2 linked regions of the Xenopus tropicalis genome follow. The protein of the gene in region 1 purifies or fractionates together with the protein of each later gene. This does not show direct contact. Links are inferred from orthologs where the notes say so. Each region holds a gene or a part of one and is shown on either strand. Other genes may lie near its edges.

Evidence for each region.
Region 2: the proteins of fyb1 (region 1) and lcp2 purify together in Homo sapiens (co-immunoprecipitation; 6 studies listed by BioGRID and IntAct, with this or other methods). This does not show direct contact. The link is inferred for Xenopus tropicalis from reciprocal best matches to the Homo sapiens genes FYB1 and LCP2.

Annotation. Positions count from the first base shown.
Region 1 is NC_030677.2:196,897,104-196,914,360, forward strand, and holds the start of fyb1 (FYN-binding protein 1), read left to right. Parts: upstream 1-9,344; 5' UTR 9,345-9,630; coding exon 9,631-9,633; intron 9,634-16,837; exon of another isoform or gene 16,838-16,962; intron 16,963-17,257. UniProt on the Homo sapiens protein: Acts as an adapter protein of the FYN and LCP2 signaling cascades in T-cells. May play a role in linking T-cell signaling to remodeling of the actin cytoskeleton. Modulates the expression of IL2. Involved in platelet activation.
Region 2 is NC_030679.2:32,336,927-32,353,623, forward strand, and holds part of lcp2 (lymphocyte cytosolic protein 2), read left to right. Parts: intron 1-980; coding exon 981-1,012; intron 1,013-3,208; coding exon 3,209-3,252; intron 3,253-3,785; coding exon 3,786-3,963; intron 3,964-4,547; coding exon 4,548-4,636; intron 4,637-5,406; coding exon 5,407-5,452; intron 5,453-5,560; coding exon 5,561-5,632; intron 5,633-6,665; coding exon 6,666-6,688; intron 6,689-9,530; coding exon 9,531-9,556; intron 9,557-9,627; coding exon 9,628-9,723; intron 9,724-10,044; coding exon 10,045-10,075; intron 10,076-10,835; coding exon 10,836-10,848; intron 10,849-11,907; coding exon 11,908-12,016; intron 12,017-13,313; coding exon 13,314-13,354; intron 13,355-14,530; coding exon 14,531-14,628; intron 14,629-16,697. UniProt on the Homo sapiens protein: Adapter protein primarily involved in signaling pathways within T-cells, as well as other immune cells such as platelets, mast cells, and natural killer (NK) cells.

The sequences.
Region 1 (17,257 bases):
ATATAATGACTATGGCATCTTACAGAAGCCCCCCCTGCATTTACCAGATTCTGCACAGTCTGATTATCTGTAATGAAAGTTGGAGTGAGTTGGGTGGAGAATGTTTAAATCATAAACCCATTTCTGTTTCTGATATATGGAGCAGGCTACACTTGTTTCTGTGTTGTAATGTGCTTTTCTTCCCTTGCCTTTTACATGTCAGATGAGTTGGTGAGAAATCTGGTTTGAGCTTTTAAGCAGTTCTGGTTTGGCTTGGGCTCCTCAAACTGTTCTGCTGCAAAAACTGGACTTTTTTCAACAAGAAAGTAAAAAAATGTAATGAAATATTTTTCATAGAACAATAAACGGAGCATCAGGATCACTGCAATGGTCATCCAAGCACTTGCCTCCTACATGAAACATAACACACAGAAATGTACTGGGATTAGGGAAAAAAAGCAAACGAAATACTAGAAATTATTTAAGTCTTAACTTCCTGCTGAAGGTTACTGTTAGAATAAGAGACAAGCAGAACAGTACAGAGATTAGTGGGTATAATATATAGGGGCAGGCTTTTAGAGAATCCCATTTGCTACTGGCATCTGTCATTGACTTATACATGATCTAGCTGGCGCATTTTCGTGGTCAGAATTGCTGTGGTTTCGTTACATGACAAATCGCGACAAATTTGTCTTTCATGCAAAAATCAAGTTTTTTGCAATAGAAATCTGCAACAGAAAGAAACAAGCAAAAGCCCTTTAATGTTGGTTGAGAAGGCTGATGGAAAGGGAATGGGAGGGCTTACAGACACTGATATATACCCTGCCCTCACAGCTCAAGCTATTCTTCTACTTTTACCTAGACACCGGCTTGGAGAGTGATTTTCCCTCCCCCCCCTAATATTGTCATGGAATACCATGGGGTTGTTAGCTGCCCCCCTTCACATTAGTGGAGCTGGGGTGGAATTAATAATTTACCTTCTTGGACTGTAAAGTGAGGAAGAAATGGTTAATATGCGAATGTACCGATTATGCAATAAAATAATTTTTTATTAATGATAATTTGGTAAATTTGAATTTCTCTGACAAACCCCAAATAAAACCCCAAACCTAAAACAAATCCCTATGGCCTTTCCACCATATTCTTTGTCACAGAGGTTTTTTTTTTAATTGTTTTATTTTTGTTAGAATTTTAGCTCTTTAAGTTACCAGGAGTGGCTTTTTGCAGTAAGAGTACAACAGAGACCTTTCTCGCACACCCTTAACTCTCCATAAATTAAGCGCCCGGTGCTCACTGCCAGAGGGATCGGCACCCTCCCAAAAATCCAGAATTGTCAAACAATACAATGGCACTCAGGGCTACAAAAGGGACTAGCCCTTAATTCCAATTTTTTATTGCGGTAGTGCAACGTTTCGGGGCAACACAACCCCTTTATCAAGCATGCTTGATAAAGGGGTTGTGTTGCCCCGAAACGTTGCACTACCGCAATAAAAAATTGGAATTAAGGGCTAGTCCCTTTTGTAGCCCTGAGTGCCATTGTATTGTTTGACAATTCTGGATTTTTGCAGTAAGAGCACAGTATGGGGGATCAAACACTGCAATAAACACAGTTATTATACAATTATACACAGTTAGAAAAGATTAAGTGCCATATGTCAAGTAATAGTTGGGGAAAAGATCCTTGTCCCATAGAACTTACAGTCTAAATAAGTGGGTAAACTATGTTTTTTTAAACTGAAACTGATTTGATTTTTGAAACATTTTTCTAGAATTTACACGTCCATCTTCACGTGGTCCCCTGAGAAATGTTAAAGCGGGGTTCTACTGTGGTTATAATGTCAGCCATTCCTTTAGCACATAAATATATTATACTCCGAAAATCACATGTTGCAGATGGCACTCACTGCTAGGGGGTAACCTGTAAATACCCATTATTGCTACACAAATAACACAAAACATAGTCATATTAGCAAAAGGTTTTTTCAACACAAATTAGCATAACCCTTTTTTGTGACCATATCATTATTTGCCTTTGCGGGATCCTTGAAACTGTTCAGGAGCAGTTTGGGGCTGAATTCCATGTGTATCATAAAGAAACTTTGGACTGTGCATAAGGAGCATTCAATGTGCATAAGTGCAAAGGACACATATATTCAAGCCTCTTCTATTGGGAGTGCTTAAGGGATCATTGATGGTTCTTTAATAAATGAGCTGAAGCAGTAAATCATTTCAAAATGGAAAGTTTTAGAAAACCATAAATGTGATGAATAGAACTTGGTCAGAACACAATCATTAATCAAGTCGGTATTCCTGAGGCACAGATGCAATTCCTTATTCCATTTTGGTTCTTGAAAATCAGTTTTTTATTAGCTTTGCAACCACTCCTGAGAAGAAAATGTAACTTTCACTTTCTGTTTTTGAGTTGCTTTTTTGTTAAGGTAACTGCCCAAAGCTCAACAGGCATTGGCTATCTCACCCTTAGTAACATTCCGCCATCCTTTAGATCTGAATGTTCTCAACGACGGGCCTGCATGACCGATATCTGGCCTGAAATTGGCCAGATATTGATTGGGAGAGTTAAAAAATTTAGTCGGATCGGGGACCACATTGGCTCGTTGATGCGGTCCCCGATCCGACTTCTCCTATACCCGTCGTTCTAATTTGATCGTTTGGCCCCAGGGCCAAACAACCGAATTAGCCTGGATTCGCCCGATATCGCCCACCCGATGTCGTCAAGCGAGCAAATCTGAAGATGTATGGCCACCTTAAGGCCAGGCTCTGTTCTACCATTAGCCTCAAAACTCATGCTCTTGTATAAATAACCTTTGATCCCAGCCTTACAGAAAAACCCTCATGTACATTTGCAAGCAATCTCCAAATCTCTCTGCTGTTGATACACTCAGTCATTCCATTTGGGCAGGCTTTTTGCATCTAACTGAAGGCAAAAGAAGCCAAAAAAGACGGTGACAATGAGCTTCTTCAGAAATACCCTGGGGTTGTGCAGTTTTAGTGAACAGGAGCACCGGAGCCCGGGTATTGGGCAAACAGTTATAATCACTGAGGGATGCCTAACATTTCATACCAGTTTCTCTAGTGGTTTTCATTTCCCCCCAGTTATTATATTTCTTACTCCCTCTCCACCCAAAGTACATATCCCATTTTTCTTCACCCCCCTTCTCTCCTGACCTTCTTATATCTCCCCCCCAGTTGGAAGGAACAATCTATAATGCGTTATCCCAAACCCAAACTCTCACCCACAACTACACTATCAATGCAAATGGATGGAACTCACCTTGGGAAAGGACAGCCTTGTTGCAAGAATTCAAAGCTAAAAAGATACAGGTTGCGCTGATCCAGGAGACACATTACAAGACCAATCAGATACCGAAATGCTATGACAAATCTGATTCCACTATCATACACAGCCCCCCACAATCTACAAAAGTCAGAGGCACAGCCATTGTCCCCACTAATAACTTACAATTAGAGATTAGAGCTGCCAAAACAGACCCTCAGGGAAACGACACATTTCTCAAAGGGAAACTGAACTCCCTTACGTACACATTTGCCTCAATCTACCTACCTGACACAGAGCAGACTGATATCATGAATAAGATCCATGATTTGCTGCTTCTGTTTGCGGAATTGATGGTAATAGTATGGGGGGATTTCAACACCCCACTCGAACCCAATCTAGACTGCTCCTCTGGAACATCATCCCTCCCATTGAAACAAATTAAAAGGCTTAAACAACAACTACATTGGCTTCAACTACTAGATAGCCGGAGAACTCTCCATCCCCAAGATAAAAATGGCTCCTTCTATTCACATAGCCATGACACATATAACAGAATCGACTATATATTTATCTCACAAAGCACTAGATAGTACCCAAAAGGAAACAATAGGCTCCATTACATGGCCAGATCATGCCCCAGTAGGCTAACATTAGAACCCCTTCTCTCAACTATCCGAAACAATCCAAACATTCAGGGCATCAAGGCAGGAACTTCCCATTGCAAAATTTGTGCCTATGCTGACGATCCACTCTTTACTCTTACTCAACCTACCAGCACGTTACCCAGCCATACCTTTGTCAAGGAGAATTCTAGTTTGTACCATTTCAATCCCTATATATATATATATATATATATATATATATATATATATATAATAGAAAGAGTGCCGCACACATAGGGACTTGATACAAAAGAAAAAGTGGTTTTATTGAAAAAATTGCAACGTTTCGAGCACAATCTGTGCTCTTCCTCGGGGACAAACCAACAGACCATATCCCAACACCCACAGTGTGGTGGGGGTATTTACTGTGAGTGTTTTTGACCTGCACCAAGGGCATTTGGACTTGTATAGGGTGTGCTCCTCCCTGTATACTAATTTATATATATATATATATATATTGCTTACTTACATTTCCTCCAAGAAGCGTGCAGATATTCTCCCAATAATGTTTTTACAAGATACTTTTTTTCATGTGTCGTGACATCACTTTGCCACATTAGCGCCACCTAGAACAGTATATTTATTCTGCAGAAAGCATTACCATACCTGAGTAAACAGCCCTAGAAGCTCCTTCCAATTGTTTAAGATGGCAGTTGCCTTTTTAGCTCGATCTCCATAGCTTTCTGCTACAGCTTTAGCTGTTGGTAGCTCAGATGGGAGGGGGGGTGAATTCTTATGGGAGGGGGAAGAGAAGGGAGAGAGGATAGAACTGTGCAGACTCAGTGTCCGGGAATGAAGGATTTTTCTGATAGAGGAAGTCTTATTCTAAAGAACATAATTACAAAAAGGAGACAAGAAATCCCATGTTTCTTTTGATAGAGGACTCAGTGCAGCATTACTGTGAGTGCTTATGGCTATATTTACATAGACCTTTAAAGCTTTAAACATGGAAAAATCACAATTAATAAGCACATAAACAATAATAACATCTTAAAAATACCCCAAGACAATATCTCCATGTAATAAATGAGCAAGCATTGGATATATGAGTTTATTCGATTTAGAAGAACAAAATCAAATTTACTTAAAAACTGATAAATAAGCCCATTAATATAATGAAGACCAGCTTTTGAATCCGGTGTTTTAGAACTTATCATACTTACATACCTTTCGATCCACTCATGCTCCTGCTTTTCTAACAGATTTGCTCAAAGCTTGCACCAACTGATCCTTTAGATTATTTGTCCCTTATTAACCAAGATGGATTTTCGGGGAAAATGTATGCCAATATCTGCTAACACTCAGTATGAGGCAAGTAAACCGCATTTAAGTGTGAAATTTGAATATATCTTTAGAATGTCGTTGCTCACATTAAAAGGGATAAAAATTAATATTCAGAAAATGTTCTGCAACACTGCAGTTTCCCTTTTTTATTTAACAGCTTCTGTTGCAATCCTAGCATTGCGGAAGGGACAAGAGGCCTGTGAATCAGCGTTTGCAACATGCTGAGATGTATTCCCTTTGCAGGAGTCCATGGAAAGGAGGAACTGATTGCATCCCAAGCCAGGACTAATCCCCCAAACTGTAAGTATAGCAATAGGAAAAAGATGTGGGCTCCTTTTCTGTATACAATAGAGGAGTACATGTTACAGGGAAAAGGTTTTCATTGTTCAAACAGTGACTGATGCAGGATATGGTATCTAAATATTAATGTAAAATTAATGTAAACAAGAGCCCAGGGCCTGATGAAATACAAGCTCAAGGGCCTGGGGTACTTGTAGACAAGGTGCTGTCCTCTATTAAAAGGTGTGTAGATTCATGGGAAGAGAGGGCAGCACCTTGTCTACAAGTACCCCAGGTCCTTTCTTAACTTTATCTCATTTAGGGTAAAAGCTGCTTGGATATTTTTGTATCATGCATAACCTGACACCTAGCACTTGGCTACTCAGTCTATCAGTGTGTCCTGATTCCCCTGCAAGAATGAGTGTGTGTAGATTCATGGGAAGAGAGGGTCATACTCCATCTATACAAAGCTCTGGTAAGGCCCCATAAAATAGAAAGTGCAGTTTTGGTCTCCACTCCCTAAAAAGGATATTAAAGGAGACATATCCTATAAAAATTATGAATGTATCAGTGAATTATACTCCTCTAGATATAGAAGGATTGTGTTTAAAAATGTTGTGTGTAACGCTTTTCTGACCCAATTTGGAATAAACCCAGGCTAGTAGTGAATAGAGAGCATGGGTTACATTCGCGACACTTAATACAAAGGGGTGAGCCTCCGCTATATGGGAGAATCAGGATGGAGCGAGGGTGTAGTGGAACTACAACTAGCTGAGGTGTGTAGTGCAAATAGAGAATAATGGACGCCAGAGGATTCTTGCTTATGAACTATAGTACAATTTATTGGACAAAGGCACAACTTTATAGTGCAGCAGGGTATACTCACAGACACAGCAGTGTATGATGTCACAGATAGTACAGCAGATGTGACACTTTAGGCACAGAATAACCCACTTGGAGGATGCACAGAGGATTAGTTGACACCTGAGATATAGACCTTTCAGAAGGGAGTGTTCCGGCCGACTGTGGTCCAGGGGAGAGCTCCTAACACTGGTACCTGGCGTCTAATAAAACCGGTCCCTAAAGAACGACTACAGAGCCGGGGTGGACTAAACCCTTTGTTACAACTCCTGGTTGGGGCTATAGACTGCCCTTACTAAATAACCTGACTACAATCACCTCTCCTAGAGGGTGCTATAACAAATCTGTCTGTGCTGGCTTAACCTCGTTCACGGGGCCCTGTCCCCGACTTAGCACTAGGGTAGGTGGTCCCCTAGGGTACAAATGGCTTCTGGGCCTATGTTCTGGTCCAGGCTCAGTTGGGATCTGTCCAGAACACAGCATGCAGCCAAAAGAGGAAGCCACTTCCTTGTTCAAGACACTATATAGTCTGCACAAGGGGAGTGGTCAACCTGGGCTAAACCTATAGAGGGCAGCCTAATAACAGTAACCTGATATCAGAGGGCTCTGCCCTATAACAATACAGATAAGATAAGAATAAGGGATAACACCATAGGGAGCTTAACCCTATGGGTCCCTACATGTGTTTCAGACTGATTTATTGAGAAATTCCACAAAAACCCCACTCGTCCCGCCCATCTGTTCCACTTCCTGCTGGCAGAATTCTCTGAATGAGCTGGGGAGCCGGCGGCCCTCCGTACACTGCACTGTAGGATAGGAACCAATCAGCAGCTAGGCTGACCTGATAGGGAACTGAAGCCTGTCTGTGCTTGTGTGACTGCAGGGCTGTGATTGGCTCTCCCCCTCCTACTGTGCTTCTGGCAGGGACCGTTAGGACACGCCCACTCTTCATTTCACACTGGATGAAGAAGTGAGAGGATCTATAGGGAGCTCCAATAAAGGGGCCATTTTTACAGATAGGATTAATGTTTAGCCCAAAGGGAAACCAGCACCGATTATTATTTATAATTGCCTACAAAAATAGCGTTCTTACAATTTATCCAATATGTTTCCTTTAATGAACTAGGGAAAGTCCAAAGAAGAGCAACTAAGCTAATTAGGGAACGGAGGGTCTCAAGTACGAGAGAAGGTTGATCTAAGTTTGGATTTTTCAAGCTAGAAAAAAGGTGCTTAAGCGGGGTATGATATGTATGTATTCATATATAAGGGCGCCATACAATAACTCTCTGATGCTTTATTCACCAGTTGCTCTCCAGCAAAGTGGGAGAGGCTTCAGATGGTGACTGATAATTAAGCAGATGGATCAACTATCAGGCAGGCAAGTTTCACTGAGGCAATACAGTTGAACTTGATGGACATGTATGTATGTATGAGTGTGTATAACCTTACAGTGGTACTTATAGCCCTACCGTGGTATGTATGAGCAATTAGCAGTATGTATGTTCATTAACCAGCTCATCTACAGACAACTTGCTTTGGTAAACCCCCTCTGATAAATGCCACTGTTTGCAAATAAACAACTGCTTCATTTCCAGCAACTATTGTCTGACACACTCATGCACTGGTGATTGCACCTCTACCAACACATCCAAGAAACTGATCTGTTGCTCATTTACCTCGGCCTTTTGTCCTGGGAACTGGGAGAAGAAAGCATATGGGCCTCATCTGTGTCAATCAAAATGTGAGCCTTTACAGAATCCATATAACTAACAATGATGAAACTGTAGGCAGATATATTGCCTATGTCTGTGTTGTGGTGCTAAAGGCCATTCGGCTTGTATGGGCAATGCTATTTAATGCAGGAAACTGCACAGTGTCTCTTGATGCCCGTTCCAATCTCCTTATCAGTTCTCCTATACTTTATGGACCTCCCCTTCACCTTGTTGCTCCATTTTCTTTGTTGTCATTCCCAAAGAAGATCACCATGCATGTTCTATCAAGGGACAAGGCATACAGTCTCCTGACAGTTGAACCCTGTATGTAAAGGTATCTAAGCTACCCACTGGGCAGAGGATGGATGGGGGGCATATAACCTATATTAAAGGCAAACTCAACCCAAACACAGCTTTTTGCAAACTAAACTTAATTTCAAGCAGCCTTTGCAATATACATACATTAAAAAATACGCAGACATGGTTGTTAATGTATAAATATGGTTTGGAACAGTTCCCTAAGCCCCACCCCCTGTTGCCCTGCTGATCTGGCTGACTACTTTGAGACTCAAATAAAATGCAACAGTAGTCGCCTGTCCTCAGCCTGCCTTCAGCCTGCATCCTCCCAATCCCACAATTCCCTGCACGTGATGTCAATAAGGAAAGGAACATCTCAGTGCAATGCATTGTGGGTTGTGTAGTTCCTGCATGCTGTCTGTAAGCTGTGGAGGAGTTGTTACAATTTGTAACTTCAATGCTTTAGTCCCTCCTCCCCTGCCAGGATTTGAGATGATGCAGAAAGAAAAGAACTGTTTTGCAGCTCGATTTCAGCATATAAAAATTTTATTTATTCATACTTTCTGAAGGAATAGGTTACAGTAATAGGGATATTAGGGGTTTCTGTGTTGTATGAGGCTTTTTAACAAATTTTGGTTTGGAGGCCGGAGTTCCAGTTCAACTGTTGCTGGAATAATAACTAAAAAAGTTAAAATATGTTATAAAAGGGGGTTACTGTGCACAATGTAAAATATATGTCAGCATTTACTTCCTTTTATTGTTGTAATGGTTTCCTATGAAGAAATGGAACATTTAATTCACTTAGTGGAGAGAGAAGTAAGGCCTCAGATGTATCATGAAGTCTATTATCCAGATTCTCTCTTCTCCAGGAGCGGTAAAGTCCAACTGAATGATGTTACTGAGAATGCTGGGAGTATTAGTTCACAGCCGGGGAGCTGGGTTTTTTACATTTTTCTTTTAGAGGAAGAAACACTTTCGAAAGCAGAAGAAATGAGAGAAGAATCAGTGTCAGTAGGTGGCTGGGACTGGGCACTTCTATGGGTCACGTTGAGATGTCGGTGCGGCTCATAAATCTGATGGGGAAAGAAAGTATATCCCTGTGCTTGTTTCTGTGTAAGTGGATATGAGGAGTGATATGAGCTGTATGATAACATTCTATAATCTACACAAAAGGGGAAGTCGCTTCATGCAAAGGATAATAATTAAGCCCTGTGACTCTGCACTTTGCTACATGCAACATCGGTGTTGGCGTTAAAAAATGGTGAGTTCTTGCACAATTTTCTTTTTTTAGCCCTAAAATTGCTACAAAGCTGCCAGTGGGGTTATATTTCTGCTGAATGTTGTGCTTCTAGGGAAACTGTACAGCATAGCGCAGAGCGGGCAGGGACTGGCACCTAGAGCTGCACAGTTTCCCCACTGAATTATTTCTTCCCAAGTGCAGCTATTCATGCCTTTTATTGTCAGATTGTCAGACTGATAACTCCTAGTAGGATTCTGTGAGATGAAAGGGTTTGTCTGATTTATTGGGGCTGTTGTGTCCTAAATGATGGGGACTTTAGATTGACATTTAGTCATTTGGAACAGAAACATTATATGGTACCTAGGATTCCTCTTAGCAACCAGGCGGTGGTTTGAATGAGAGACTGTATATGCTTAGCAGGTCAGCGGGTGTGAACAGAAAGACAAATCATATAAAATATTAGTAGTAGTACAGGTATGGGACCCTTTATCCAGAATGCTTGGGGTCTTTCCGTACTTTGGATCTCCATATCTTTAGTCTAGTAAAATATCATTTTAACATTAAATAAACCCAATAGGATTTTTGGCATTCAGTATAGATGGGATCAGGTACAGGTACTGTTTTATTATTACAGAGAAAAGGGAATAATTTAACCATTAAATAAACCCAATAGGGCTGTTCTGCCCCCAATAAGGGGTAATTATATCTTAGTTGGGATCAAGTACAGGTACTGTTTTATTATTACAGAGAAAAGGGAATCATTTAACCATGAAATAAACCCAATAGGGCTGTTCTGCCCCCAATAAGGGGTAATTATATCTTAGTTGGGATCAAGTACAGGTACTGTTTTATTATTACAGAGAAAAGGGAATCATTTAACCATGAAATAAACCCAATAGGGCTGTTCTGCCCCCAATAAGGGGTAATTATATCTTAGTTGGGATCAAGTACAGGTACTGTTTTATTATTACAGAGAAAAGGGAATCATTTAACCAATAAATAAACCCAATAGGACTGTTCTGCCCCCAATAAGGGGTAATTATATCTTAGTTGGGATCAAGTACAGGTACTGTTTTATTATTACAGAGAAAAGGGAATCATTTAACCATTAAATAAACCCAATAGGGCTGTTCTGCCCCCAATAAGGGGTAATTATATCTTAGTTGGGATCAAGTACAGGTACTGTTTTATTATTACAGAGAAAAGGGAATCATTTAACCATTAAATAAACCCAATAGGGCTGTTCTGCCCCCAATAAGGGGTAATTATATCTTAGTTGGGATCAAGTACAGGTACTGTTTTATTATTACAGAGAAAAGGGAATCATTTAACCATGAAATAAACCCAATAGGGCTGTTCTGCCCCCAATAAGGGGTAATTATATCTTAGTTGGGATCAAGTACAGGTACTGTTTTATTATTACAGAGAAAAAGGGAATCAATTTTAAAAATTTGAATAGTTTGATTAAATGGACTCTATGGGAGACGGCCTTCCTCTAATTCAGAGCTTTGTGGATAACGTGTTTCAGGATAAAAGATCTCATACCTGTAGTTATTTTTAAATAATAATAAATCTTCTGTCAGGATCAAAATCTTTAATATATTATATTGATATGTTTTTTCTCACATGCATGTAGAATGCAATAGGTAAATGCATATAAACTAGATATATAATTCATTGCCATATAGTTTGCAGCCAACAGATTTTGGCTAAAGCCGGCCATACACAGGAGTTCTTTCATACAATTATTGGTACATGTAAAGGGGTTCATCACTTCCAGCCGATATCCAACTCTGTGCATATTGGTTTAAAGATGGAACACATTTGAAGATGTCATTGGTTGATAAACCATTTTTTGGTATAAGGTTGGCTTCTTGTCCCGTGTTCAATCTATAAATGTCAGTGGGTGTAACCAGGGTCAGACACAGTCAGTATAGGGGGGGGGGGGGGGGCATTGTGCTGAAATTGTGAAAGAGCCCACTAGTCATTGACCCAACAACATATACATTTGCCCTCTGTACACTGTATTCTTTAAATAAAAGAAAATTAATGGGTTGTTTACATGAGTGCCCTCGTGTTATTGCGCCAGATATATATCCAGCCCCGGATGGAAATGTATTTAGGGACAGAAACTTCTGCTTAAACTGTAAGCTGTATGATACATATGTAATCTGCATTCTTTTGGGAGACAGGTTTCCATGAGCTATATGCTTATCAGAAAAATGAAAGTGATTTAGTATTCTTATATGGCTTTATCTTATAGCTGCATGTCAGAGTCCACTTAATGTGTTACTGGCAAAGTGCTATTCCACTTATTTTAACTGCCACAATACACATCTTCTAATGTTATTACTGTATGTTTTCTCAGAGTTTATTATCCCCCTGCTATCCCACAGCCACATTCCCTTCCCAGAGGTTATTATCCCCCCACTGCTACTATAGGCACCATCTCTCCCTACTATACCTGCTATCCCACAGCCCCAGTCCCTTCCCAGAGGCTATTATCCCCCCACTGCTACTATAGGCACCATCTCTCCCTACTATACCTGCTATCCCACAGCCCCAATCCCTTCCCAGAGGCTATTATCCCCCCACTGCTACTATAGGCACCATCTCTCCCTACTATACCTGCTATCCCACAGCCACAGTCCCTTCCCAGAGGCCATTAATTATTGCATTGCTACTATAGGCATTGCTATGGGGAAGTTCTCAAAGAACTAAAAGAAGACTCACAAATTGATCCCTGCAGTTGTGCTAAAGACAGATCGGCCCGTGACTGTGTCCAAAACTGTATAAATTTAATCTGATGGGGTGAATTCTCAAAAAGTGGTATATAAAAGTTCCATTTAACTAGTAAACTGCAGCAAGACGTAAGTTCAAGTCAAATTGCAGTTAATCAGTAGCTTGTATAGAGTGAAACTGCAAACTGAGATGGTGACACCTTCATAAAAGCAAATATAAATATAGATTTAGACATTAACACTTCCTTTCCTAACATTCCTTTAAAATGCAGCAATTTTTAATAGCTTACTACTGCTCTGAAGCTGCCAGATAGGCTCTGTAGTCTCCTCTGTACTGCAGTCAGGAGCAATTACCTTTAGTCAAGGTACCTGATAGCTGAGCCCTACCCACCGTCAGATCAAGGAGCAAAAGAGCATTTAGGCTGAGCCTGTATCGGTCGAAAGTCAGAGTCTGCCTGTGTTATTGGGTCTATTGAGATGGGACTGTGTAACGTTAAATCTCCTATGAAACAAGTAGAATAAGGAAGAGTCTAAAAATAAAACAACTTAATAAAAGCGTAATAATTATAATCATGTTCATAAATCAGAAATATCAATCCAAAATAATGCTCTTTTGGGATATTTATTTATTCTAATTCTAAGCTGGAACATATAAATACAGATAGCTATAATAAAAGGCTAGCCTAGGCCTTCTCTCTTTACATGCCTATTTGGACTTTTATATTCGTTAATATTATACTTGAGCCATGGTTTGCATAATTATATTTGTATGCAAATATCCACTTAGAAGGAACTAGAGGTTTTTTTTTTTAGTTTTTTTGGGAACAGTAGAAAGTCTGTTCTTAGAGCAAGAATATTCTGCAATAAATTCCCCACTGTGAAAGAGGAAGAAGCCTGAAGACTTGCTGATGCCCCAATCTTCTCTATCTTCCTGTCTGCTCTTTTCTCTCCGGCGATGGAATGTGCATTGTAGATTTGCTCGGTGCAGTTAAGCAGAATGATCTCAACTAAAAAGAAAATTATATTATAATACAGTTCTAAATATAACAATAAAATACATAAATGGGATTAGGTGGTAAAAGTCACTAAGTTTGCCCAGGAGCAGTAACCCATAGGAACCAATCAGCAGGCAGAATTTACTGGTCACCTGTTAAATTAAATCAATAGTCAGAATGTAATTTCAACATAGGCCCTCTTTATTGTGTTCATTTTTAGCAAAGGTGTTTTTAGGCGTTTACAGCCCCTTTCAAGGGATACTGTCATCATTTTTATGGTGTACTTTCTAAATGACACTTTACATAGCAAATAATTCACTCTGCCATTTAAAATGCTATTCTTGAACCAACAAATGTATTTGTAGCTGTAATATTGGTGTGTAGGCGCCATCTCAGTGCATTGTGCCTGAGTCTGAGCTTTCAGCCAGCGCTACACATTAGAACTGCTTTCAGCTAACCTATTGTTTCTCCTACTCCCATGTAACTGGAGGAGTCCCAAGCCGGACTTGGATTTCTTACTATTGAGTGCTATTCTGATACCTACTGGGAGCTGCTATCTTGCTCCCTTCCCATTGTTCTGCTGATCGGCTGCTGGGGGGGGGGTATCACTCCAACTTGCAGCGCAGCAGTAAAGTGTGAGTGAAGTTTATCAGAGCACAGGTCACATGCTGTGGCACCCTGGGACGAAATGAAGAATACGGCTAGCCCCATGGGAAATATAGGTACAATAACAAATACTAAATGGGAACTTGATGGAAACCAATGAAAAAGCTAGAGCCTCCTTAGTGTTCCAGCTCCTAACTGCATTCACAATTCCATTCAGATCACCTTCCTAGGAACTGCTCAAGGGCAAGATAAGTGCAAAACTGCATGAAGGGTAATTGAGGTTAAATAAAGAAAAGCAATGATGCCACGAGTCCCAACCAACCAGAAGCTGTTTGTTTGCACACCTTGGACTGAACCCAAGAGCAGGCTAATAATGCTAGCGAAGGTTGCGGCACAATATGATTGGCTACTAAATAAAGCACATGAGGGCTCATTTATATTTGCAAGCGCAGGGATCAAAGCACAAAGAGAGTATTTTGACGCAACTACCTTTAAAGGGATACTGTCATGATTTTTATGGGGTACTTTTTATTTCTAAATTATACTGTTTACATGGCAAATAATTCCCTCTACCATTTAAACTTTTATTCTTGAACCAACAAATGTATTTGTAGCTGTAATATTGGTGTGTAGGTGCCATCTCAGTGCATTGTGCCTGAGTCTGAGCTTTCAGAAGGAGCCAGCGCTACACATTAGAACTGCTTTCAGCTAACCTATTGTTTCTCCTACTCCCATGTAACTGGAGGAGTCCCAAGCCGGACTTGGATTTCTTACTATTGAGTGCTATTCTGATACCTACTGGGAGCTGCTATCTTGCCCCTTCCCATTGTTCTGCTGATCGGCTGCTGGGGGGGAGATATCACTCCAACTTGCAGCGCAGCAGTAAAGTGTGACTGACGTTTATCAGAGCACAGGTCACATGGCTGTGGCACCCTGGGAAATGAAGAATATGGCTAGCCCCATGTGAAATTTCAAAATTAAATGAAAAAAAATCTGTTTGTGTTTTTGAAAAACAGATTACAATGCAGGATTCTGCTGGAAAAGCTCTATTAACTGATGTTTTCCTATGACAGTATTCCTTTCATGAATCATTTAATGAATGGGGTTTAGTGTGGAAATAGTGCTGAAGCATGCGAGCGGTAGTATATGACCCTTAAGGTATTGTTCAAGTGTAGGGAATAATACCAAAAACACATCCATACATTATAACTCGCTGACATACACACATGACATTGATCAAAAGTCCTTTCAGCCTTAAGGGTGAAGACACACAGAGCTACTTAGTAGCAGCTACTTGTCACAGCTACTCCAGAAAATAGACAATACTGAGAATTGCCTCTGCTAAAACACATGTAGAGACAATTATCAGTAAATGATCAGCTTTGTCTATTTTAGTAGCAGTTACAAGTAGCAGCTACTAGTAGCTCCGTGTGTATTCACCCTTAGAAACAGCAGCATCATGTGACTAGCCAATCACTTGGTAACACATAATCATTCATGAGACTTCAAGCAGATAAACATGTTGCTACATAGCAGCCTAGTACAATTCTGCCCAACAGGCCAGTGACTACCACCATGTTATGCAGCCCATACTGACCAGGCTACCTCCAGTACAGGTATGGGATCCGTTATCCAGAAACCCCTTTATCCAGAAAGTTCTGAATTATGGAATGGCCGTCTCTCCCATAGACTCCATTATAAGCAAATAATTCTAATTTTTGAAAATGATTTTCTTTTTTCTCTGTAATAATAAAACAGTACCTGTACTTGATCCCAACTAAGATATAATTACCCCTTATTGGGGGCAGAACAGCCCTATTGGGTTTATTTCATGGTTAAATGATTCCCTTTTCTCTGTAATAATAAACCAGTACCTGTACTTGATCCCAACTAAGATATAATTACCCCTTATTGGGGCAGAACAGCCCTATTGGGTTTATTTAATGGTTAAATGATTCCCTTTTCTCTGTAATAATAAAACAGTACTTGTACTTGATCCCAACTAAGATATAATTACCCCTTATTGGGGCAGAACAGCCCTATTGGGTTTATTTCATGTTTAAATTATTCCCTTTTCTCTGTAATAATAAAACAGTACCTGTACTTGATCCCAACTAAGATATAATTACCCCTTATTGGGGGCAGAACAGCCCTATTGGGTTTATTTAATGGTTAAATGATTCCCTTTTCTCTGTAATAATAAAACAGTACCTGTACTTGATCCCAACTAAGATATAATTACCCCTTATTGGGGGCAGAACAAGCCTATTGGGTTGATCCATTATTTAAATGATTTTTAGCAGACTTAAGGTATGGAGATCCAAACTACAGAAAGATGCCTTATCTGGAAAACCCCAGGTCCCGAGCATTCTGGATAATATGTCCCATACCTGTACATCAAAATCTACAATTATAAATATATGAATGCGCTTAAATACGAGCACAATGAAGTATTAGTGAAACAGAATATAGAAGTCTCCATACAGGCCCGGACTGGCAATCTGTGGATTGTGGCAAATGCCAGAAGGGCTGCTGTAAGACAGTCAGTATTTATTGGGCCTGTGGGGGGCTGTTTGGGCCTCTGTGTACTTGCAATGCCAGGGCCTATAGTGAACCCCAGTCCGGGCCTGACCTATAGCCTCGTATGCAGGGAAGATTCCTCGTTGATTTACAAGTGTGCAAGTTCTGCTTGAGTTCTCTTTTTCCGTGCAAAATGTGACACTTAATTAACAGCACTCACAGATGGGGGAGGGGGGAAAGCCTCCAGCGTATGAAGAAATATTCCTGTAATAAAGGGGTTAATCAGATCTGTGAATTGAACAATGTTCCTCAGGTTTCACTTTCAGCTTCCTTTTTAAAAGCCAGTTCCTTATTCCTCCTCTACCCGTATTCTCATATGTGAGAGCGAGTTTCCTAATCGGCAAGTTTATCCGGCGTCGTTACAATGTGACTGTCATTGCACCAGGGTTACACCGTGTATTCGCCACTTTGCCCCCCGTACTGAATAGGTGAGTAAACATCACCCCACGGGGTTTCTGTCCTTGGTTGTGTGTGTGTGTCCCCAGAATGGGTGCAACTGCTACTGTAACATAAGGAGAATATGGTATTTGTGCAATAGCTTGTTATACAGTAACGGGGCAGTAACCTATAGCAAGCTGCTAGTGTAATGACAGCAAACATTTGATTGGTTGTTGCAGGTTAGGGGGCAAACACTGCCCCCTAACACACTGTTTTGGTATAGTTTCAGAATGGGACCTCCAGAATCCTCAGGACTCGGGGTGTTCCAGATAAGGAGTCTTCCCC
Region 2 (16,697 bases), on another chromosome or scaffold:
GCCCTGGTCTTTCTTCACCCTTACCTATGGCGTCTGTTTACTAAGGTTTAAATTGTCTATCCTATTAGGGCTGTAAAGTTTTTGTGCTAAAATTAACACAGTTCCAATGTTTACTGAAGTCTTGTAATAATAATATTAACGTGGTGTAAAGTGTAAAAGCTAATTTTAGCATTATGACAGGAGAGTTTTATGGTTCCTTTTCAGGTCATGCTATAAATTTTGCTGAATTTTTGGGTGTCTTTGCAAAATACAAACACTAATGAAAACTATATATAATAAAGTCATTACAGGTATGGGACCTGTTATCCAGAATGCTCAGGACCTGGGGTTTCCCATTTAAACATTACATAAACCCGTCAGAATTGTTTTGCCGCTAATAAGAATGAATTAAAGGGGAAGGAAAGAAAAAAGCACCAGCCCAGGGTACCTGTAGGAAGCGTTTCCTCCTTCCTTTCTCTTCTGCCGGCGAAATCCGTGGGCCGGCGCATGCGCAGTAGAGTGAAAAGCCGACTTTAATGTTTAAGTTCGGCTTTTCACTCTACTGCGCATGCACATGCAAGCAAAAAGGAAGGAGGAAGCGCTCGCTGCTACCCCGGGCTTGTGCTGTTCTCTCTCTAAAATGTAAGCGATCTAAGTCACTTGGGGGTGCCTAACATTTTGGCACCCCCAAGTGACTTAGCCTTTCCTTCTCCTTTAAGTCTTAATTAGGACAAGGCACTGTTTTTATTTTTACAGAGAAAAAGGAAATAATTTTTAAAAAATTGAACTATTTGATTAATATAGAGTCTATGGGAGATAGTCTTCCATTAATTCTGAGCTTTCCAGATAACAGGTTTCTGGATAAAAGTTATTTTTATCACATTTATGCCATTCTTGTTTTCATTTTTTTACACGTTCTCTGACATTCAGCATTACATTTAGTTTTTTCCATAAAATGTTTGATTTTTTGTATTTTAATAATCATGTTATATTTTGGACAGGACAGCAATCCCGAGATTTCCACAGGAAACTGGTAATTTTTCCATAGCAAATACTTAAAAGTATGGATCATACAAAAACACGTGCAAGAAAATGTGACCCATTTGTTTTACATTCTTCATTTCTACTCTTCCCATCTTTACTAATCCTCATTTTTACTTTCTACCTTCCCGTTTTTCCTTTTATTTTCCATTACAATGGAATTCAATTTCTTTAGAAAGTTTCTAAATTCACATTTTTAACATTCTATTGGCTTGACCCATTCTCTTTTACTATCACCTTGTGTCTTGACTTTTGCGGTTTCAGAGTTAGGGAAATTGGAGTCCTACCTAAAGATTTGAATTTGGCCAAACCATGCCTCTTGCCCTTTGTTCTGTGCCATGTGAAAAATCCCTGCTGTAAAGAGCATCCTCAAATATATTTGTAAAAAGTTAATATCACAAGCACCTTTTCTCCAGTGTAAACAAATCTAAATTGATCTGTGTAGTTTAATTGCTCTATTCCTTTTACCAGTTTGGACCAGTTAGATGTCTCTGCACTCTTTCCAGCTCATTCATATCTTTCTTAAACAAAAGAAGCCCAAAACTTTTCTGCATTCTCAAGATGAGGTTAAACCAGGCATTTATAAAATGGCAGTTGTGTCTGCATCTTGAAGAAGACCACGTTATGATCACTAGTACGTTATGATCACTAGTACATAAATCTGTGTTGTGTTTTCTGACTTGGCTTCCACATTAATCCAGCCAAACTAAAATTGCTATAGTTGCATTCTGACCTACTGTAGTTGTGAAGCTCTTTCCATTTGCAGTAGAGCTGGGCCTCATTCTTCTTCCTTGTACTAGATGGTTGTTTGTTGCATCAGTCAACCAGTCCAATCCTATGTGGGGGGTTGAGGGCAAAGGGCTCAATGTGTTAGAGATGATTTGAGGAAATGAAGAAATGTGCTTATCACCCGTGGTCGTGCTTCTGTGGCCTCTAAAACATGGGGCAAGTCAAATAACTTGTGAGATTTAAGCAATGAGTGCCGGGCTGTAGGATGGGGTGGAAAATTTCTCCCAAATCCTATACATGGATCCCACCTAGGTATGGCCTCAGGGGTTCTAATAGTAAAATAATATGCATGAAGCACACTACTTTCTGTTCTTGAAGTGGATACTCTAAAATATTTTTTATTTTTTCTATTCGCCATTGGGGTAAGTTTTCACAGGGGCAACAGTGACTCTATACATCCTGGCCTTAGACCAACCTTTTTATTTACCATTAGAGGGTTCCTTATCTAGTCAGTAACAACCTCCCACCCTCCAAAAAAGCAAAGATGGGGTATGACCAGTTTGTTTTCTGTTTAAAGAGCATTGAAAAACTTCATAGCTATGCGCATATAAATAAAGCATGTAAATTGCTTTTTTCTCAATTGACTACAGAAGCAGAACACTTTTTTATAGATTTCTGCCTCACACTGCTACAACCCTTTTCCTAATGAAATGTAAGTGCTGTGCATGGTCTGTGAGCCTGATGCGAAAATAAATTGTGCTCCATCTGTGCATTTATCACTGGAAGCTTAGATTCCTGTTAATATTGTCCCTTGATGCTGGAAGCAGGTTTTTCAAATTCATCTCAGAATAAACGGAATAACAGTGTCGTACCATTGCTTAGCGTTTCAGCTTAGTTACAAGGGGGGGTTAAGATAAAAGCTTTTCATACTATTAGGTGTCATTGTCAGTACTTGTTGATATAAGGATATAACAAATGGTTTTTGGATTCTTCTTTAGCATTAAAGGAGACGTAAAGGTACAATCATTTGGGGGGTGCAAAAATGTTAGGCACCCCCCAGTGACAGTAATCGCTTACCTTATACCCCGGGCTGGTGCTCCTGTTAGGAGAGAATTGCACCAGGGCCCCGGGATTCAGAAGAAAGTCGAGGAAGAGGATTGCTCAGTTGCAGCTACCCTGGGCTGGTGCAGTTTTCTGCTAACAGGAGCGCCAAACAGGTAAGCGACTGGGGGGAGTCTAACATTTTGGCACCCCCCAGTGATTGTACCTTTCCTACTCCTTTAATGGCAATGACACACAGCCTACTTGTTGTGGCTACTAAATAGACACCACTGATAATTGTTTCTACTAGTGTTTTAGCAAAGACAATTTGTTATTGAACTGGCTACAAGTAGCTCAGTGTGTGGCATAGCCCTATGTCTTAATAAATGCAATTTATCCTATCTCCTTATTCTTTTAGAATTTATTCCTGAAGACAAAGAATTTTCTGACTCTGACTCATTTGTAAGTAATCATACCCAAGTGATATATTTCAGATAGATAATGCAGTTAGATTAGAGTTTAGAAAAAAAAAATGGAGCACACCTCAGATCAAATATTAAACCCATCTAATCTTAATGGGCAGTGCAACCTTCTGCTTTATGAAGTGCAATGAAGAAGGGGCATCCTCTGTTACACAATCTGTAATCTGTCCTCAGATCTGACTAGCAGGTCTTGGTCATGGCCTAAACCTATAATCTGGTCAATGCATCAAAATAAGTCGTGGTGTAAAAAAAAAAAGTCACAGACAAATAAGGAAAAAGTTGTGTGCATCAAGTGGTGTGGAAGCCATGTTTCCCAAATTTCTTTACCATTACACACATTTTTAAGCAGTTTTGCAAATGTGACAGATTTGCTTATCACTACCATTCACTACTTGCAGTTTTTGAAGTATGTATTGGCAAGGTATAGGGCAATGGTTTCTCAGTATGTGAAAATGTCATTTATATCCAACTGATTACTAATTTTATATCCATATTTAATGTACATATGAACAGGAGGAGGATTATGAAAGTCCCAATGAGTTTGATGATGATGACTATGAACGCCCAGCATCAGAAAATGAAGAGGATGAAAATGAAAATGGAGATTATGAGCCACCTCCTCCCAATATTGAAGATGCTCATCCTCCCATATTTCAATTAAAGCCAAATGTAACTAACTCCCCCTATGCAGGTAAATTAGGTACATTGTGTACCTTTCTAATTACCATAAACCCATAAACTCAATTTACATACAATTAACACTTCTAAAAATTTGGAAAAAAATCTGGAAAAATATGCTTTATTATTTTAAAAAAAAATTAAATATACTCTAAGGGGCAGATTTACTAATCCACAAATTTGAATCACGAATGGGAAAAATTCGGATTGGAAACAAAAATTTCTAAAGATCTCAAATATCCCGAAAATGCTTACGAAAAAATCATATTACTCACGATAATATCGTATTGACGATCCGAAAGTCACAAAATTTTCGTACTGTCCATTGGAAACAGCGGCAGAGCCTTTCCGAATTTTTTATGCGGGCACGCGGAAAAAACAGCGAGAATACGCTCGGAGCGTTCGTATGAATGCTCCAGCGTTCGGGTCTTACTGAATCTCCCCCTAAATGTTTATCGATGGAAAGGTGCTTAATATGCAAGCAAGGCTTCAAGCCAAGCTCCTGTTTTATATGTATGACCATATTATTGTTAGACATTCTGAAGTTTTGAGTTAATAAACATTTCTAATTATTAAATATTTCTTTTGAATATTTAGACAGAGAGTTTGGAAATTCTACCAAAAATCCTCCAGAGCCCCCAAAGAGGCCGGGGAATCCAGGACTTCCACCAAACAGGGGACATACTGTAAGTTGTTTGTTGACCTAAAAAAATGAAAATAATATATGAATATATTTAGATTAAACCCAATAAAAAACTGTCTCTGCAGTGTTGTCTTAATATTTTTAAATGTAAATTTTAATATTTAAATTTTAATGCAGGTAAAGAAGGGACATTATTTATTGTCTGGATGCAAGAAGGTGGAAAATGGACATATTGTAGTCTTACCCCCATATTGGGTTTATTGTCCAGTAGCAGTAACCCATAGCAACCAATAAAATGTTTGTTGTTTGCTTTTAAAGAGGTGACCAGTAAATTCTACCTGCTGATTGGTTGCTATGGGTAGCTCCAGGGCAGACTTAGTGCCTTTTATTACATACCCCCATTAGTATTCAACCCAGCAATGGATTTAGGACCCTGACCAGGCATGTATATTTTCTATTTCTGATTCCATTCTAAGATCTATTGTCCGAAAGAGATGCCTAGAAATTGCTGACTTGGCAAATCAACCTTCAGTGCAATTGTACCAAAGCTGATAAACCAAAAACATAACAAGGTTGAATGATGACCATCAGCTGACCCAAAATGCAACGACAGTATTCCCCATGCTTCCACCAATTCATACAAACTATCAGGGGGCAATCCAGTAATGAAATTAGAATGTTTTAATATCTCTGTGCTTCCCGCAATTAATATTGATATCCAAAGATGGCAAATATTTATCTAACATAAGCAGTTACATACAGAGACATAGTAAAAGGGAAACTTTTTCTTATTGTTTTTGTTTGTTGTATCAGTTTCCTGGGTATTCACCCTCATCAAATCAAGAAAACAGAGCGAATAGTGAGTATTTTATGTATCTGTGTTCATTTGCTATAATAATATTTACTATACATTTGGTCTGGTCTCATTTGTTTTGTTCATTATATTCTTTTTAACTGTTTTTTGAAGCACTCGGTCCAAGCATTGATCGTACAATCAAGCCAAGTTTTGAAATGACCTATCCGCCAAATGTTGGAAGAGGTATCGGCAAGAAAATTTGAGAAATGGTGAAAAATTTGCGAAACGCATTTGTCGCACGATTTTTTTTGTCGCCCGCGCCTTTTTTCGCCAGCGGCTATATTTTGTCACCCGTGTCTATTTTTTTTTTTGTCGCCCGCGTCTATTTTTTTTGTCACCCGCGCTTTTTTGCCGCGACCAATTTGACGCGTGGCAAAACAAATTTACACGCAACTAATTTTTCCAAGGCGAATTTTCACAGAAGTTTCGCAAAACAATTCGCCAATGGCGAAATGCGGAAATTCACTGCAAATCCATGCCCGTCCTTGGCAAATTTAAGTATAAACTTCAATTAAAGGGGTGGTTCACCATTAATCTAACTTTTAGTATGTTATAGAATGGCAAATTCTTAGCAAATTATCAATTTGTATAGTTTTTAAATTATTTACTGGCTTATTTTGACTCTTTCCAGCTTTAGATGTGTGTCACTGACTCAGGCAGCCAAACAACTATTGTTATTGTCACTGTTCATTGTTTTTCTTTCTTTTGAGTCACTCTCCTATTCAAATTCCAGTCTCTCTTTCAAATTGCTGACTGGTTGCTAGGGTAATTTAGAACCCATCAGCCAGGCAATTAAATTAAAATCTGGAGTTTAACAAGAAGCTAAATAATTGCAGATTGTTTCAGAATATCACCCTCTACATCATACATATGTTGTAGTCTCAGGACAGTGTATCAGGGTGATCTATTATACTGGTGATTTGCACTGAAGTGCACAGTAGATTCCTGAAAGAGTTTTGTTTCCATTAGTTCTGTCTCATTCTCATGTTGTCCTGACATGCTTATATTACAAGGGACTGGAATACATTCTACTGCCCCCTGTAACAGTAGTCTCCCCTGTATGCACATATCTGCAACTTTATTTTAATAAAAAAAAGTAATAATGTAGTTTTTGTCAAGTGCACAAAGTAATGTTCTGCATTGCACTGTTTACACACTATATTATTACTATATTAATTGCTATTATCCCTTCTCTCTCCTTCTCTCACTTTTTCAGGGAAACCACCTATTCCAGGAAAGGTAAAAAAATAACTTTAAAATAAAATAATTTTTAACTTTGTTATAGATACTGTATCATAGTTGAAAAGCTGTTTTGTGTTTTAAGCTGGAAAGGAATTTTGCTTTTATATTACTCAATCAAAATATGATGTGATAAAAAGTGGCTTGCCCACTTGCCCTTTCTAATAAATATAAACATATGAGGGCTTATTTACACAAAAAGGAGTAAGTAAGCACAACTACAAAGTGCAAATTGAGGTGCTATTAGCAGGTGTATTCACTTAGCTGCTATTTAGCAAAGTTATTTGCACACATACATGCTACATACAGCTTGTTGTTATATTGCTAGTGCAGCCTGATGAATTACACATAGTTGCATGAGATATGGAAAGTATGCAAAGTAAGGAAAGTAGGGTCAATGAAAACTGCAGTTTGCAAGAATTGCCTTAAGAACAGAACATACCAATGGACAGGTTCTGTGTAAAGGTTCAGAGGCAAAAGAAGGCAAGGAGACCTGTCCAGGAGAGGGGGAAAAAGTAGTAGTAGAGCAGAGATGGTAAAGCTGGGGCATCTGAGGTAACATACACTGCTCAAAAAAATAAAGGGAACACAAAAATAAGACATCCTAGATCTGAATAAATTAAATATTCTTAGTTGAATGTGCTGACAACAAAATCACACAAAAATTATCAATGGAAATCAACTTTATCAACCCATGGAGGTCTGGATTTGGAGTCCAAAATTAAAGTGGAAAAAAACACTACAGGCTGATCCAACTTTGATGTAATGTTCTTAAAACAAATCAAAATGAGGCTCAGTAGTGTGTGTGTGGCCTCCACGTGCCTGTATGACCTCCCTACAATGCCTGGGCATGCTCCTGATGAGGTGGCGAATGGTCTCCTGAGGGATCTCCTCCCAGACCTGGACTAAAGCATCCACCAACTCCTGGACAGTCAGGGGTGCAACGTGGTGTTGGTGGATAGAGCGAGACATGATGTCCCAGATGTGCTCAATTGGATTCAGGTCTGGGGAACCGGCGGGCCAGTCCATAGCATCAATGCCTTCGTCTTGCAGGAACTGCTGACACACTCCAGCCACATGAAGTCTAGCATTGTCTTGTATTAGGAGGAACCCAGGGCTAACCGCACCAGCATATGGTGCCACAAGGGGTCTAAGGATCTCATCTCGGTACCTAATGGCAGTCAGGCTACCTCTGGCGAGCACATGGAGGGCTGTGAGGTCTCCCAAAGAAATGCCACCCCACACCATTACTGACCCACTGCCAAACTGGTCATGCTGGAGGATGTTGCAGGCAAAATGTTCTCCACGGCATCTCCAGACTCTGTCACTACTGATGAGCGAATCTGTCCCGTTTTGCTTCGCCATAAAATTCGTGAAACGGCAAGAAAATTCGTGAAAAGGCGAAAAATTCAATTTTTTTGTCGCCCGTGTATATTTTTTTGTCGCCCACACTTTTTTGACGTGGCCAGGCCCGTTTTGATGCGACTGCGCCCTTGTTCTACGCAAACAAGACCTTTTTTTACGTGACCGTACCCTTTTTGACGCGCAATGAATTTTTCCGCATCAAATATTCACAGAAATTTTGCTAAACAATTCGCCAGTGGCGAAATGCGGAAATTCGCTGCAAATCCATGCCTGGCGAAAAAATTCGCTCATCGCCATCTGTCACATCTGTCACATGTGCTCAGTGTGAACCTGCTTTCATCTGTGAAGAGCACAGGGCGCCAGTGGCGAATTTGCCAATCTTTGTTCCTGCTACCACTAGAGTGAAAGTACCCCCAGCATTCAAAGGTGACCAAAACTTCAGTCAGAAAGCATAGGAACTGAGAAGTGGTCTGTGGTCACCACCTGCAGAACCACTCCTTTATTGGGGATGTCTTGCAAATTGCCTATAATTTCCACCTGTCTATTTCATTTGCACAACAGCATGTGAAATTGATTGTCAATCAGTGTTGCTACCTAAGTGGACAGTTTGATTTCACAGACGTGTGATTGACTTGGCGTTACATTGTGTTGTTTAAGTGTTCCCTTAATTTTTTTGAGCAGTGTATATTTGTCAGATCCACAAGCCAAGGGAATTTCAGGTTTATACTACTGGTCCTACATTATTTTTTATCAAAAGTCCTTGGCTTTCTAATTATACACAGTGATTAATATAGAATTTGCAGATGCAATACAGTTCCTTAATTGTAATTATTTTGCAAGGCACAACCCCACCCTCTCTAAAGCCACACTGCAGTTTGTGTACCAAGATGCACAGCTAACCCCATTTGTAGAGGAAGCTCCTGTTTTGCTGTGGGCTTGTTAAAGGAGAAGGAAAGTCATTTTGGAATTGTACTGCCAGTAGATTTGCCACATTAGCGCCACCTAGAACAATATATTTATTCTACCATACCTGAGTAAACTGCTTTAGAAGCTGCCATTTCTAGTAGCTTCCTGCCTGCAGTCTAGCCGTTATAGCTGAGATCACACATTCCTAAGGGAGGGGCGAGGGAGTTCTTAGCATTCTGGTGGGAGAGGAAGCAGGAGAGGGGAGAGAGCTTACTGATAAAGCTTACTTAGTTTTTACCTTTCCTTCTCCTTTAAAGAGGAATTATATGCATATCTATACTTTGTTCAACATAGGCACAAAAAATCGGACTTACTTATCTAAAAATATTGGTGATCAACACCTTTAAACATACGAAAACAAAGAAATGATAGTGATGCCTCTTGTTAGCTTCCAGTTTGTATGAACTGAAGATCCAGGGTATTCATTAACTAATCTTGATCTGTGATTAAGAAAACTCAGTTTGAGGATGGCTACATGTATAATTGTTGCACTTGTTTTTCCTTAACCTAGATTCAGACTGGACATGCAGGTATCAGGTAAGTAACTGGATTGTTCCAGGCAAAATGTGACTGCAGTGGCTTTTGCTGAATATTTATGTCTGTTTTAGTCAACAGGCATCTGAAAAATTATCAAATCTTATAAAACCCCCCGTTCCCATTGAAAGAAACAATCAGCCATTTGAAAGGAGAATACCGAGTCCAAGGTACAGTATACGGAATTGGTTGTGGCATGTTTTTGCAATGATAAATCTCCCAAAACTGTTTGTTTTGCTCTTTGTATTCAGTATTTATTTTTAAAAAAATGGTTAAAAAAATGGAATCATCCTATTTGGGGATTTTACATGGCCAGGATCAGTGACAAAATCCATTTTTTTCAGCTGTAAAGTAGGAGATTTAATTTGAAAAAAAAGTGTACTGCATAATAATGATGATAATAATATTGTTACTATATTTTAGTTATTGGAATTATGTACATTTTTTAACATAGATTGTCAGTCTAATTTCCTTTACATTATTCATTTTAGGCCCAGTTTACCTATGGACAAAAGATTCAATGTAAGTAGTAGGTCTGAATACACAAACAGTACCATGAATCCATATTGGTAGCAACACAACCCTATTGGACTAAATGTTTTTAGCAGCAATAGAAAGAGATCCCTTATCTGGAAAATATTCAAGGTCCTAAGAATTCTGGATAAATTATCCTATACCTGTACATACTGTAACAGTTGTTATGTACAGCTGATTCAATATGAAATCAAGAAGGGAATTGGTTTTATCAGTGTAAAAAAACCTTGTCTTTCTCACTATCCAATTTTCTGCATCAATTGTTTTTTTAAATGGACCTGTCACCCTAAGTGATAATTTAAAATCCTTTTCTATCATGGTAGTGGAGCAAAATAAACTTTACTTACATTATATAAATTACTTAAATCTTGCTTCCTTCAGTCTGGAATTCACAATCACAACAAGCAGGCAGGAACCATTTTGTTGGCGCTGTTATTAAGGCAAGCTTTGTATCATTCCAAAATTCTGTGCATGTACCAGAATATGGGACCTGATGCCCATTTACTGGCTACATAATTATAGGCAGTCAGGAGGGAGGGGGAATGGGAGGAGTGAAGTGACATCTATTGTATTTTTAATTACATTTATAACAGGTATGGGTGTTTTAATAAAAAAAAGAAATTGCGTTCTCTTTCTCTATAATATAAGTATAAACACCAGAAACATTGTTAATGTGTTGTATCTGAATTGTAATTGAGTTTTTTGCATCGATAACACTAATAATAACCTGTTTTGTTGTTTTTTGCAGCCAGAAGAAGATGGTAAGCCAAACAGTCTTGCTTGTATGCACAGTGTAACTAAATAACTGTCTGAATATGAAAAATGGGTGTGGACGTGTCAAAATGAGCACGGGCGCATCAAAATGGACACGGTCGCTGCAAAATAGCAAAAAAAACCCCAAAAAACGCATGCAACAAAAAAAGACTTGTGTGACAAAAAAGCCACGTGTCAAACGCGTTTCTCGGATTTTTCACTGTTTTGCGAATTTTACTTTGCAAATTTTAGGCAAAGCAAAATGGGACAGATTCAATCATCACTAGCAGCATTCCCTGCTTTTCACCCCTGACTTTAAAGCACCCAAATGTAATAGATAGACATAATATAAATATACACTAAAACCTAAAATGAAGAAATAATTTGTCATTTACATTTGTTTAGCTACATTGTATTAGATATAAAAATTGATTTAATAAAATATATATACACACAGCAAGCACATAATAGATCCGTTTTAAGACATTCAGTAGTAGTAATCCATGAAAACTTTACCCCTAGGATGAATACTTAAAGTGATAGTTTATATTATGTTGACTTATTAAAGAATCTCGCCAAACTGGAATATATATATATATATATATATAAATATATATCAGTAAATATTGCCCTTTTACATCACTTCCCTTGATCCACCACGTTGTGATGGGCTGGGTGCTCCCTCAGAGACCACCTGACAGGAAATAATGCAGCTCTAACTGTAACAGGAATTAGTGTGGGAGTAAAAGACAGAACTCTGTCTATTGGCTGATGGGGCCTAGCATGTATGTGTGCTTTGGCTTGTTTATGTGCACTGTGAATCCTATGATCCGAGGAGGCGGCCCTTAATTCTTAAAATGGCAATTTTCTATTTAGGAGTACCCAATAGTATATACTGCTAAAAAAGTATATCTTTATGAAAATGGCCTATTTAGATGAAGCGGGGTTTTACATACAGTATGAGCTTGTTTATGCAATATAGTTTTATAGAGACCTACGTTGTTTGGGGGTATAGTTTTCCTTTAAGCAACCTAACTTTAAAAGGAATGTACTTTTTATACAAACAGCACCTAAGCGGCAAGTTCCTCCACCAGGAGGCCTTGGATTTTCCTCAAATACTTTTCCTCCAAGGCCGTCTGCGAAGAATTCATTTCCTGGATTGCCAGTTACAGAAGGGTATGTGACAATAAGGCTGAACATTTTAAATAATGATGTACTTTTAAGTATGTTTTTAAGTGTCATTTTGTCATTTAGTTTAAAAAACTTCCTTACCCAATTTTTGTGATGAGATCCATTATCCAGAAAGCCCTGAATTACAGAGAGGCCATCCCCCATAGGGTTTATTTTAATGATTTTCTTCATCCTGTAATAATTAAACAGTATCTGTTACTTGATTGTAACTACGCTGCATAATCAGCCTTAATGTATGGAGATATAAATTACCTAAAAATCCTTTATGCAGAAAGCCCAAATCCCAATCATTTCAGAAAACAGATCCTATACAGGTATCAGACCCCTTATCCAGAAACCCATTATGCAGAAAGTTATGAGTTAAGGAAAACCCATCTCCCATAGACTCCATTTAAATCAAATAATTCACATTTTTAAAAATTGTTTCCTTTTTCTTTGTAATAATAAAACAGTACCTTGTACTTGATCCCAACTAAGATATAATTACCCCTTATTGGGGGCGGAACAGCCCTATTGGGTTTATTTAATGGTTAAATGATTCCCTTTTCTCTGTAATAATAAAACAGTACCTGTACTTGATCTCAACTAAGATATAATTACCCCTTATTGGGGGCAGAACTATCCTATTGGGTTTATTTAATGGTTAAATGATTCCCTTTTCTCTGTAATAATAAAACAGTACCTTGTACTTGATCTCAACTAAGATATAATTACCCCTTATTGGGGGCAGAACTATCCTATTGGGTTTATTTAATGGTTAAATGATTCCCTTTTCTCTGTAATAATAAAACAGTACCTTGTACTTGATCTCAACTAAGATATAATTACCCCTTATTGGGGGCAGAACAATCCTATTGGGTTTATTTAATGGTTAAATTATTCCTTTTTCTCTGTAATAATAAAACAGTACCTTGTACTTGATTTCAACTAAGATATAATTACCCCTTATTGGAGCCAAAACAATCCTATTGGATAGTTACTGTTTAAATAATTTTTTAAGTAGACGTAAGGTACGAGATCTGAAAAGACCCCTTATCTGGAAAGCCCCAGGTCCCGAGCATTCTGGATAACGAGTCCCATACCTGTACCAGCAAACCTTGCCTTAAATCTTCCATACATGACCAACAAATCATCAAAGAAAACTTCTTTATTTATAAGGTAGAATAAAATGGGATGCCAAATCAAATAAATAATTTTCATTTTTGGTGCTAGCAGACCTTTAATTTCTTGAGTAATAAACTAAGAAATGTGCTTTTTTTCATCTGTTTATATATATCGACAGTCCATCCCCACCAGGACCAGCACCTCCCCCTCATAAACCAGGTAAGTAAAACAAGGTATTATATATTATTTTTTAAATATTAACACTTATGCATTGATTCCTCAAGTAAAGGCTGACAGAGTTGTCACAGCTGTATAAATACAAACTCAAGTCCCCAAAATGATTATATCCATAACTATATTCATGCCCCACAAAGAAAGCTGAAGGTGTTTTCTTAGTAAACCCAAACAGCCACGATATATCATGATATATCAGTACAGGAGAATGCCCAAAAAGTTGGGCCAGAACATACTGGTGATACAGATTCAAAATGTATGTATGTATATCTTTATTTATAAAGCGCTACTTATGTACGCAGCGCTGTACAGTAGAATACATTAATACAAACAGGGTGTTAATAAGATAATAGATAAATACAAAGTATAATAATAAATACAGATAATACAGCAGCAATAAGTTAAAATGACTCTAAAGTATGTACCTATTATTTTATAAAGCTGAATCAAAAGCTAGACAATATTTTCTTAGTATTTTGTTAGGTTTTACTTATGCTCAACCAAAAGCCACTTAAGAGGGATACTGAGTGTATTCAGAAATGGCCCGGAAGGTATCTCGTGGCCTACCAAAACATTTTTTGCAGGATAGCAGGACTAAAAAGTTAATTGGAAAGTTATATCAATGGAAGCCAAATAGCTGTGTCAATGTTCAGTGGGACAGTGGTCTTGCTTACATTACCGTGGCAAGTTGCATTGGCTGAGTCATAGGGCAAACCGTGGCAAGTTGCATAGGGCAACCACAGCAGTACTTTATAAATAGATACAAAGCTTCAAGATTAAGGGGCAGGGTCTCTTAGCACAAACAAGATCTGTTAAACAGGCTGAGGGACAGAAGAAATGTGCAGATCATCTATTACACAGTTATAAACATGTCCCAGGAAAACATGCTTCATCTGAATGTATATCTTTAATAATACAGCTGCAGACCCAACCATATGTGGATAATTATTATCTTGTATTTCAAATGTTTAAGATGCTGGCCAGGGCTACTATTAACATTTCTAATACTTAGATGCTAGAGTGTGTACCACACTCTTCTCCTTTTTATACTGTTATTCACAGTAATCTAGTGTAAATTAATTTAACCTTATTTTAAAAGAGATGTTTATCTCAGACCATTCTGTGAACTGTGTTCCATGGTAATTTTCTTGGTACTTTTAGGTAATATGAATCGGTCTTTCTCAGAAGGAACATGTAACGGCAGGCCGCCAGCTCCTATTCCTACCAGCTATAATCAGACTTCAGCAACAGAAAAAGAGGTAATAAGTTAGACATATTTGCAGCAGATAGCATCATTTAGTTATATGGCAGAATTTAGTTATATACATGAAATAAGGTAGAGGTACAGGTATGGGATCCATTATCCGGAAACCCATTATCCAGAAAGTTCCAAATTACAGGAAGGCCATCTCCCATAGACTCCATTATAAGCAAATAATTCTAATTTTTAAAAATGAATTCCTTTTTCTCTGTAATAATAAAACAATACCATGTACTTGATCCCAACTAAGATATAATTAATCCTTATTGGATGCAATACAATCATATTGGGTTTATTTAATGTGTAAATTATCTTTTAGTAGACTTAAGGAATGGAAATCCAAATTTTGGAAAGATCCCTTATCTGGAAACCCCAGGTCCTGAGCACTCTGGATAATGGGTTCCATACCTGTACTTAGTTTCCACTTGTTGTGTTCCCTTAAAGGTCAACTAAAAAAGTAGGCTAGAAATCCTTACTTTGTGTTTTCAGCTCACTGTTACCAGCCCAGACTCACAGCACGCATAATAGCAATGAAAGTTCATGTTTCCATATTTATTCCAGAAACCCTGATATTTAATTTCATCACTTGCCTAGTATGGACAAGTATGGGCAGATCAGTGAAGCATAGTGAGAAACACACAGCACACTGAGGAAAAAGTAAAGAATCCCTTTTAAATTTTGATTGCAAGTTGGATCAAACAGGAGATGTCTTGTCCTGTAGCATTTATACTACATATTATTACAGTGATGATAACTAATACACTAATCTAGTGTAAGGTAACCAGATCATGTAAAACTAGAGACCATTTCTACAAAATCCAGAAAGCAAATAGTGATGTAGATCAAAAGCTTTACCCCATCAGAAATTCTAAGTACAAATGTCAAATGCATGATCTCATCTTAATAAAACTATGCATGATACCAATAACTTTAGCACTACAGTTGCCAAACCTACTGACCTATGATTGCCAAGTTGATATTATAAACCCATTGTAAATATTGGAATTACCTCAGCAATCCAGCCCCTTCTTAAAGCTATATAATGTATCAGCTGGTACAAATGAAATGCTGAATGCTTGCCCATAGTCAGTGTCGGACTGGGACCCCAGGGGCCCAACAGAAAACCATAGACTATTGGCCCACTTTCCAAAATATTTTTCCTTCTTTCCTCACTCAACATCTTTATTCTCCTATTATGTTTACTTACATGCTAGCATCTATCCTTCCATCTATTTTTCCTCTTTGTTCCCATACAGAAATAGGGAATGGCCATGAAGTAGGCCAAATGCTCAGGAGCAGGAGGGCCCACTGACAACTGGGCCCACCGGGAGTTTTCCTGGTATCCTGGTGGGCCAGTCCGACACTGCCCATAGTACTCCACTGAGTGAATGGGCCCCCCGCCATGCCAGCCATCCCTGTGCTGCTGCACATGGATGGGCAAGTAGAAGCAAGTAAGCCTCGCTCAAACCCTTTTGTCCCAGCACCATAACCAGGGAGGTCACAACCAACTCTACAGGATGGGGGGGGGGGATACCTCCTCCATTCCCCACTCCTACAAGCATTCCCCTGCCAACTAAACTGCTACTACTGTATATACCCACCATGAACTACAGATTGTATCTCTTGGCTCCTGGGATGCTGCTACCCACTGCTGCCAGAGACAAAGTGAGGCTTCTGGCCAAACTCCTGCTCCTTCCTCGCTCACTGACTCCTCCCCCCCACCCTCACTCTTCCAGTTAACCCTCTTCTTCCTAAGCCTGCCTAACCCAGTCAAAGCTCCCCTGCCTCCATTTTTAAGTCCAGACAGCCTTAATCCATTTAATAAGGGACGTCGTTCAAATATAAATAATAAAGGCAATACTAAGAGGAAAAAATAGGCTTCTGCCTTATATTTGATGTTGCAAGAGCAAGGTTTCACCCTTTTAATTAAGGGTGGTGGTAGATTTATTAATGAGTGGGCCTTAGGGCTTGAGCAATAGGTTACAGATGTATGAGTTTAACCTGCCGAGGTTACCTAAAACCTGCCAAGCTTTTTATTTTTTTGAAAAAAAAATACTCGGGTAAAAA